2 linked regions of the Drosophila melanogaster genome follow. The protein of the gene in region 1 purifies or fractionates together with the protein of each later gene. This does not show direct contact. Each region holds a gene or a part of one and is shown on either strand. Other genes may lie near its edges. The genes, in order: unc79 and na.

Region 1 (5,178 bases):
TAAAATTTCGGTGGACATATTGGACGAAGATGTCCAGTCTGCAAGATATTCCGCTTGCCGACCCCGAGGGCCTGTCTGTGGAAGGTCCCGAGGTGGCCCCCGCTCCAAAGTCCAATTCCTTGAAGCGCTTCTTTAAGATCAGCAAGAAGCCAATGATGCGCGACCAAGTGGAGGATGACGACGAGACATCCTCCCAGGACAACAAGGACCTGGGAAAGTCAAACACTATAAGTCGCTTCTTTACCCGGATGAAGGGAGCCAATAAGGGTAAGCTCTTTTGACTGGTATTAAATATGATTTGTTGAAAAAAAAATGATTGCCTAATGACTTACAATTAAAAGGAGCTCTTCTTGAATAATCATAAACCCCACTTGCCAGATGTTCAAGATCCTTCGAGCTCGGTGGTCGAACCCGTGGAGCAGGATAAGCCGTTGCCGAATGCAAAGCCCACGATTAAGACATCCATTTCATCCTACTGGAAGATACTGTTCAACCGGCAGAAGAGCCAGCGCCAAAACGCAGCTTTAGGGCAGACCAATGCCAATAAAGAGGATAACGAGTCTGAAGAAGTCCATGAACTGCAACCAGTAAGCCAAGATCCCGATACCGATCCTCAGCCGACAGTCAAGGATGAGCACGATGAAATGGAACGTGGCACAGATCCGGAGCCACCCAACCCGAAGCCCAACAAAAGTGTTGCCAGCAAGGCATCCGGTCAGGAGATTGTCAGTGCCTTAGAGGGCGGCCAGCTGTCTACCAATGATCACGAGAATGCGGCTTCCATTTAGCCGTCTTCAACTAACACTAATCAAACCCGATGTCTAGTATCTCTACCGATCTCGAGGCAAAGGTTTAGAAATCAGTTAGGGAGCTGATTCAACCTTACACAATATATACTCTTCAAACACATCCCTGCTAACTGACATACATACAAGAACAAACATTTTCGCTTTGATTCCACAAATGATAATTCCGAGCTCACGAAATAAACACATACAAGACCCCAGTATGTTGTCATGTCATCCTTTGTGGTAAATCCATCCGTTTTTGTTCGTCTAAGGGGTCACAGAGTTCAGTTAAATCGGTTGTTAAAACGTCTTCACTGGGGGGTTTTGATTACCTAAACGAGTTTCATGTTTTGCGTTGCAAACAGTGGGGTTAAAAGGTGCCGCATGAGCCAGACAAGCCCGAGAATTATTTGAGGTTTTCACTTTCGAGGGAAGCCCTAAAGATGAGCCACCCCCAAAAGTTGGCTAACTAAATCACGTAATGAGTATTTAATTGTTGGAAGGTGTGCTATTAAGGAATAAGGGTGCAGAAAGTTTTATTTTAAACTTTATTTCAGTATCAGTATACCAGTGCAAATTTCTTGGCTCAGTTCCAAAGAGGTAGATATAGATATATCTCAAGAATGAGTAGTTTTCTTATCTCGTGTCAGTACTTTGGAAAATCTGAAACACACCAGTTGCATATCAGGATAAACAGCTGGGCGATGTTTACCAACATTGAGCACAATCTGCGCAAACTCCGGACCCGACTGAAAATAGTAAATATTTACATTGGCTAGACCAAAACAAGCACTTGTTGAAAGCCGACCGGTGAGTGCGGCAAATGCGAGATAAACACGCGATATGCGCATGTCCTACTTCCGAACAGCTGTTTCTGGGGGCTGCTGTCGAGGGTGGGTGGTAAAAGTGGGTCAACTTACCCTACAACTTCAATTCCCTCAAATTCCCTTACATTTAAGCCAAAAAATACTAAATCACATAGCCTATTTAATAATTAAATATATTTGAAATATATTCTAGCTTAAACCGCTTGATAAAGTGTATGTATAAGCCTGTATAAAAGCCAAATTGGTAAGGAGGGGGTCAAGGGGCGTCCAACAGATAGCGAAATTCTTGCACAGATACACACCATAAACTCAGTTTAGTTATAGAGATTTTTCTTCGTGGTCGTAGCTTGCTGTAAAACCCGTAAAAAATTGCAAATCTATTGAAAAAACTAACCAATTTCGAGGTAAGTTGACCAAAAATATTAACTTAAGTTCGTTTCGCAACCGGATTGTATGAAAATTCAGAGTTTTCTATGAAATTTCGTGCGCTTGAGCACTTTTTCACTGGCAGCATCTTTCTGGGCGATACATTACGCAATTCTGGGCGTGAAATGTTAAATGTTTTCAAAATGCAATCCTTTTTTGCCTAATTGCAGAATGCGAAGTCCCTCGGCAGCAGTTTCGGCAATGCGAAGGATTTGTCTGATATAATGACTGGCAGCTTTAAGGTGCAACTCATCAACATGGGCACTCGCGCTGCCGCCTGTAAGTTTGTCCACAGAAGTCTCAACTTTCTAGGGTGCTCAAAGGACCTTTTTTTCTGCTTTCAGTTCAGGCAAAACTGAGAGCCCTTCATGAATACCACGTTCGTCTACTGCACAACGTCTTGCCTGCGCCCTCTGGCGTCGATATTGCTAACAATATCAAATACTTTTCTCAAACTCTACTAAGTAAGTATCTATAGAGGTTAGAGTAACCTATGTAATTATCTCAGTCCCAACTCTTGATAGTATTATTACCTATTATTTTGGCCTTGTTAGCATTTTCTAAGCCACCAATTTATTGGAAATATCTTTAAATTTACAGCTGTCCTTAAGGATGTGCGCACTTCGCCGCACGAGCTTATCCGCGATCCTCTTGAAGATCCCACTCGCATGTCTGCCTATCCCAATCTCGAATATGGCAACCTCTACAATGCTCTTACAATGCTCATCGATGTGGCACCTTGCATCCAGTACGGCCAAATCGGTGAGCTTAAGACATCTTAATGCTCATAATATTCTAATTAATTTTATTTTCAGTGTTCGGAAAAGCTCTATTGCAGTGCCTAAGCTGCATCCTTCCCTTTCTGGACAAAGATCTTATCGATAATCTACCCTATCTTGTAAGCTCTACTATATCAGTACTACCACCAGCGTTGCACCAATGCATCATCAATGCTCTATGCTACTATATCTTGCCTTTTACTATAAGTGAGTAGTGACTACTTCCCTAGTTTAAAGAAACTATTTGATAATTTTTAATTTTCAATCTTTAGCTCGTCGCAGCTCCGACGAACAGGAATGTCAGGCCTGCCAATCAGTGTCCTCGGTCATCATGATGGTGCTCCAGTACTCCAACAATCCAGCGCATCATTGCCAGCTCCTGGAGTGCCTGATGACTCTTAAGCACAATGTCGTCAAGGACATCCTCTGCGTTGTGGCATACGGAACCGCTGTTTCCCGCACCTCGGCTGCCAAGCTGCTCTTCTACTACTGGCCAGCCTTTAACGCCAATCTGTTCGATCGCAAAGTCCTACTCTCCAAACTAACCAGTGAGTTTATTTCATATGATTACTCCTATTATCTTACCTCATCCTTCTAATCCCGAATAGATGACCTAGTGCCCTTCACCTGCCAACGGGAGCACTGTCCGAACTCCGGGAATGCGGAGGCAGCAAAGGTGTGCTACGACCACAGCATTAGCATCGCATACGCGCCCGATTGTCCACCGCCCCTTTACCTGTGCATCGAGTGCGCCAACGAGATTCATCGGGAGCACGGAAGCCTGGAGTTCGGCGACATTCTGCATCCCATGCAGCAGGTATCGATGGTGTGCGAAAACAAGAACTGTCGCTCCAACGAGAAGTCCGCCTTCTCCATCTGCTTCTCCACGGAGTGTGCCAGCTTCAATGGCAACCATCCGATCCGCTACTGCAGCCAGTGCCACAGTAATAGGCACAATTCCCGGCGAGGTGGCGATCACGTGGTCCATCGCAGTCTGCAGCCCGCCTGGCAGATGGATCCAGAGATGCAGATGCACATGGTGGAGTCGGTGGTAAGCCTTCTGCGAGAGGCGAAGCCACTAAACTTTGAGCCCGGCAAGGAGTCCTCGTCGTCCGAGTCCAAAAAGAACGGCTCCGGCATCACAGCTGACAATATTTCTCTGGAGGAACGCCAGAGACTGGGACGCTATGGTATCTGGCTACTGGTGGGTCGCTGTACACCCACTGCAGATACTCCCGTAGAAGTTCTGGGCAGGATTCTGAGCATGCTCTTCCACTGGTTTCATGTAACCGCTTACTCATACGATGGTATGTTAAGATGAATTATTTTTACCATCAACCATCAACATTTGTTTTCAGCTGCCGGACAAGTGGAAAGTACCATTGAGAAGCTCAAAGTGGATCACGTTTGCAACTGGCTGAAAGACATCTGCCGCATACACTACAACGTTTTCATATCCTGCCTGCTGCCACATCCCCCGGAGTATGCCCGTGTTGGAGGCCACTGGGAGACCTTGGCGTCGCGAACAAGCCACTTGAAAGAGGGTCTTCAGCGGCTTATATGCCTGGTGCCATATGAGGTTATCACTTCCGAAATTTGGGACTATGTGATGCCGCACTGGATGGAGGCCATCACCAACGACGTGGCCGAGAAGGAACTGAACGAGCTGAAGATTGTGCTCAGCAAGATCCTCGATCCGGAAATGTCGCCTCTGGGCTTTGATGCCAAAACCATGTACAACTTTGTGGCCATTCGATTTGAGAAGACAACGGCAAAGGTGCAGCAGCAGGCACTCCACTGGCTGCAGATCCTCACCAAGCTGGAGATTCTCATTCCACTGGTCCAGTTGTTCGCCATGTTCGGCGATGGTGTTCGCATAATGAAATACGGCATCCAGCACGAGCTGATGCGCGAGAAGGATGCCCAATCTCAGTCCCTGGCCAAGGCTCCCAAGACCCCGTGTAAAGAGAGCAAGGAGACCAAAGCGGATATGGCCAATCCGCCCAGGCGTAGCTCTATTTGTGAATATGCCTTCCACTAACATTTTATCACTAAGTATAATACATTCTTTCAATAGCTCCTGTTGTCGAGGATGACTCTGGTAATACGTCTGCCATTTCGGATGACGAGGCGCCCACGAATCGTCACACGGAATTCTCCACGGATGCTGAGCACAATCTCACCTGTTGCATCCTCATGCTGGACATACTTCTGAAGCAAATGGAACTACAGGACGTGGAGCAGCACATGGGCATCCATACGAGTGTCTGCGAGAACGTCTCCAGGCTGATCAAGTGCATGGTCACTGCAGCTCGAGTGGGTCTCAGTAGTCATGTCTGCGCCTTAAAGGTGAGTAAA
Region 2 (4,955 bases), on another chromosome or scaffold:
CAGGAGATGGTGAATGAGCAGAGTGTCTTCTGTCTGCCGGGCAGCTGCTTTGAGTACCCGGGATACGTGCGGATCGTACTTACTGTGCCCGGGGCAATGATCGAGGAGGCGTGCTCCAGGATTGCCGAGTTCTGCGATCGCCACTACAAAAAGGAGTCGCGCAATTTCATTGAGCACGGACTGCTCGACTGCGATGATGTGGCCTTTTGAGCTGGGAGCAAAACATTTATTAGATATTCTAGACTACAATTTTTATCAAGTGTACATAAGTGTATGTATGTATATATACTATATATATATATATATCAATCATTTTAACTATCCAATATAAGGAGTATTGTCTCAAAAAATTGCTGGAAAAGTAAAGCGCGTCACACACAGATAGATAGAGTTTAGAAAGAGCGAGTAAACTGCGGCTAAGTAAATGGTCATTATGGAGGACTTCTGAATATAAATATATATAATATAAATTTATATATATATATATAGGCCTATATTTGAGCTATCTGGCGCTGTAGGCTGGCTGGGGTTCTGTGCAAAAAATGTTAAACTTGGTGAAAGTAGTGCTCCTTTGGAACAGGATATGATATGATGATGCCTTCTTGCTAGTTACAATTATTTCTATTAGTTTCAAATAAATTTTCTGGCAGCCTTTATCTAACGTGTGATTTCAATTTAAAAATGCTGAACATTTTCGCATAAATTGGATTTAGATGTGTGTAATGAATGATATTTGTATGTATATTCGTTGTAAGAAATTTTAAAATGTTGCTTAATGGGCTGTGAAACGTAATTAGAATGCTGTTGAGTGTTGTGAAGTGTAATTGAATGGTCCCCACATTTCAGCATTCAACAGCACTGTTAATGCCAAAAAAAAAAAAATATATATTAAATTCTAGCTAAGGGGTCTTACAAATTTCTGAAACTCTGGGACAAATCCTGTTGATTGTGGAGTGTGTGTGTGTTTTTGAACGAGGACCTGAGCACGAGAACCCAATCCCACCTACAGGCTAACCGGGAGAGGGGCATCCTTTTGCCTCTACATGTGGTGCGGATGCATTTTCTTCTCCATTTCGGTCTCCACGCGGGCCTCATCGATTCCGGCAACAGTGGGCAGACCACCTGGCCAGTGGAGCAGCTCCTGCTCGTGTTCCATAATCATGTTCGCCTCCGCTACAATTGATGTAATCATCGGATAGGTTTGTATAAGATATCATCCTTCTAATGGCACTTAATCAAACAATCCTATCCCAGACCCACCTTGAATGCGATGCATCTTGCTGCCGTACGCCCAGTCCGTATAGTAACCCACGACGAAGGTGAGCGGCAGGAGCGGAGCCAGCGCGGATACCCTCCTGACCCTCTGGTAGTAACTGGCGCAGCCGTACACAGCACTCAGGTAGAATCCGCTCAGCCAGTAGAAGAGCTCCCGATGGTGGGCAATGGCCAGTGCCTGTTCCCGCTGCTTGATCTGGTAGTGCATCTGGATCCAGCGCTCCATCTGAGTGCGGTCGCTTTGGTCATGCGGGGTTTTGGGGATTATATAAAGCGGTGGACTCACCTTGAGCTCCTGGCACTTGCGATAGCTGGGATCATCGTGCTCCGGATAGCCACTGCCGGAGGTTTTCTTGCACGAGGCCGTGGCACCCATTTCGATGCGATTGCTGCTCGGATTTGTTGAAATCGCCGTGGTCGCTTGTTGGCCACTCCGCGCGGAGTTGCCACTCCGACACTGGTAACCGAATCGACCCGCGAAAGTGCGCAGGCGTCGTCCATTTTTGGGGGTTGCTCGACTTGGAACCAGAGCCATTCAAAGTGACGGCCCAGTGGAGCTGTCAGTTCAGTTGGCTGACTGGAGCACTGCCTGACTAAACAGACTGAGTGGCCGTAACTCCAAGTCTCCGCGTCCGAAAAAAAAACATACAAGAAAAAAAAAAAAAACAAAGAAAAAGGACTCTTTTACGAGGACCTCGGCGCGTGTTTGGTGTTGAAAGAAAAAAAAACGCGTTTTCCTTCCCGCACAGATTTGGAAAACCGGAAAGTGCGGCAACCGGATATATTCTTAGATTTCAATAGTCTCCCCAGTGCAATCCATTTATGTGGACTCTGTGATAAAAATTGCGCGAATCTTCGCCATCAAAAGTTAACCATCCACCAGCAGCCGCTCCATCAGGCGAAAAGTGAGTAGGCTATGTGTAGATAATGTGTTAGTTAAAGAGACAAGGTAAAAAAAAAGGCAAAATACCTTTACACAAATCGTACTGATTTGAGTTTTGCCCACTGAATTCGCTTTGAATTGGAGTGGGCATGGCTGCTTTTGGTTACTGCTCCTTTGGTAATGACAATGGATTCGCCAGTGGGGATGGGACTGGGTCGTATAGTACACATATCTACGCATATACGGCGAGAAGTGGTTGCTCATTCGGGGGTTGCAAGTGCCATCCGCCATCCGAGCTGACTGTCTTGATTCACACAGAAACAAATTTTGGTTGCTCTCGAAGATCTTTGTTGAAATTCCTATACAAAAAGTTGATGCAAACGATACACTCAAAACAAAAGCAGATCAATAAACTTGGCCTGTGGATTTGAAAAATTGGGTAAAACAGGCTAAAGATTATAAATTACATATCACAGGATATGCAACTAATGAATTGAAATGTCTGTCTATTGATTGATTCATTTGCATATATATTTTATTACTTTATAATATAACACTTTGAGCTATTTTAAATATTTTTTTTACGCAGTGCACTCAGTGCCTGTGTGAGTGGGTTTGAGTGCTGCACCTTCAGCCCACCTTGGCAGCTGTTCGAATGTAAATATTGACAAAGGTCTTGGCTCTAATTGCCGCCTAGTTGGTGGAGGGCATCCTTGGAAACATGGAGGTGCTAAATACTAATACGTAGAGAACATGAAACATAATATATATTGTACATGTAATTTATAATTCAATATATTTACCCTTCAAAACTTAAGAATAATCTTAGTAATGTTGAAATATGACAGCAGTTTGGCGGTTAAGTTTACTTCTAACTGATCTAGTCAAGTAACTAACTAATATGCCCCCTCTCCACACAGCAGGCATAACTTAGCGACCGTTTCAGGGTCAGGATGCGCCGCTTGAATGATTGACCGCCTACAGATTCGTCGCTTGGGTGCAGCTGCTAGAAACAAACGCGCAGGAGGCGGAGGCGGAGCTGGAGGCGGAGCAGTAGGCAGCGGCGGCGCCGGCGGAGGAGGAGGAGGAGGAGGAGCAGGGGCGGTACCGGGAGCGGCTGGAGCGGCGGGAACAGGACCGATCACTGGAGCGTCAGCAACAGCGGCCAGCGGATCCAGCGGCAGTGGTGGCCACCACCAGCACCACCACCATTCGCATCCGTATTCCACGAGCGGCATCAACACGCCGGCGACGGCCAGCACCAGTTCCTCCAGCGGCAACAGCTTGACGCCGCAGCAGCAGCAACAGCAGCAGCATCCACACCATCAGTCCCATCACGGGCATCACTACGCACACCATCAGCAGCATACGCATCATCACGCGCCGCCGCACTCGCACCATCCGCATCCACATCCGCACGGGCATCCGCATTCGTATCCACACCTGCGACACTCGCAGCCGGCGTCCGCCAGCCAGTTTAGCTTCAATCCATCGCCGGGTAGCAGTCCTGGCAACGGACTGGGACTGGGCGCTCGCCAGGATGCGGCCAGTGCGCTCAACAGTCCGACGACCATTGTGAACTCCGGTAGCGGCAGCGGCGGCGGCAGCAGCGTCGCCTTCGGAATGCAGCCGCAACAGCAGCAGCAGTCGTTGGCCGGCGGAGGAGGCGGTGGCTCATCGGCGACGGCGGCTCCATCTTCGGGCGGTGGCCACAACAATGGTGCCGGGCTGGGACCGGTCGTTGGTGGCGGCGGAGGTGGTCTCAATCTGCTCGGCGGACTGGGCGGCATGGGTGGCATGGGCGGCGGAGCAGCTGCCGCCGGCATGGGCATATGTGGCGGCATTAGCAGCACCGTGGGCAGTGCAGCCATCACCGGAGTGCCGCCCATTGGGCTGGGCATTGCCACCGGAATTGGCAACAAGATCATGCTGGGCCGGAAGCAGAGCCTCAAGGGCGGCGAACCTTTCCTCGCGGATTACGGACCGGAGGAATCGCTCAACGAGAGCGCCGACATCGAGTGGGTGAACAAGCTGTGGGTGCGCCGCCTAATGCGACTGTGTGCCCTCGTCTCACTGACCTCCGTATCACTGAACACGCCCAAGACCTTCGAGCGTTATCCGTCGCTGCAGTTCATCACCTTTGCATCGGACACGGCTGTTACGCTGCTCTTCACCGCCGAGATGATCGCCAAGATGCACATCCGTGGCGTGTTGCATGTGAGTCTGGTGCACTGAGAGAAATGCCATCTACTTCATCGATACTCTTTTGCAGGGTGAGGTGCCTTATTTAAAAGATCACTGGTGCCAATTCGATGCTTCCATGGTCAGCTTCCTGTGGATTTCGATCATTCTGCAAATCTTCGAAGTGCTGGAGATAGTACCAAAGTAAGTGGACGCCCCATAGTTATAATAATTCGATTCTAACAATATAATATATAATATATAGGTTTTCCTATTTATCCATTATGAGAGCACCAAGACCCTTGATCATGATCCGCTTCCTACGCGTCTTCCTTAAATTCAGTATGCCAAAAAGTCGTATTAATCAAATCTTCAAGTATGTATCTTGTAAACTTTAACAACATCATCAGCTATACTATATCATCAACTTTGATTTACAGACGTTCGAGCCAGCAAATTTACAATGTGACACTGTTCTTCCTGTTCTTCATGTCCCTATATGGTTTGCTAGGAGTTCAGTTCTTTGGCGAACTAAAAAACCATTGTGTAATGAATAATACGGAGTACGATCTATACAAAAGACCGTAAGTTAACAGAAATTCAAATGAGAAATGTT

What was found.
Region 2: the proteins of unc79 (region 1) and na purify together in Drosophila melanogaster (affinity purification with western blotting; one study listed by BioGRID). This does not show direct contact.

What each region holds. Positions count from the first base shown.
Region 1 is NT_033777.3:19,242,879-19,248,056, reverse strand, and holds the start of unc79 (uncoordinated 79), read left to right. Parts: upstream 1-1,926; 5' UTR 1,927-2,019; intron 2,020-2,211; 5' UTR 2,212-2,265; coding exon 2,266-2,320; intron 2,321-2,385; coding exon 2,386-2,505; intron 2,506-2,641; coding exon 2,642-2,803; intron 2,804-2,856; coding exon 2,857-3,027; intron 3,028-3,092; coding exon 3,093-3,368; intron 3,369-3,428; coding exon 3,429-4,127; intron 4,128-4,178; coding exon 4,179-4,841; intron 4,842-4,897; coding exon 4,898-5,169; intron 5,170-5,178. Other genes in the region: CG5217 (uncharacterized protein), read left to right, coding at 30-267, 379-788.
Region 2 is NC_004354.4:14,264,529-14,269,483, forward strand, and holds the start of na (narrow abdomen), read left to right. Parts: upstream 1-1,838; 5' UTR 1,839-2,180; intron 2,181-3,078; 5' UTR 3,079-3,124; coding exon 3,125-4,375; intron 4,376-4,430; coding exon 4,431-4,543; intron 4,544-4,604; coding exon 4,605-4,715; intron 4,716-4,779; coding exon 4,780-4,923; intron 4,924-4,955. Other genes in the region: Tat (tyrosine aminotransferase), read left to right, coding at 1-210; CG13404 (uncharacterized protein), read right to left, coding at 1,040-1,173, 1,261-1,501, 1,562-1,651.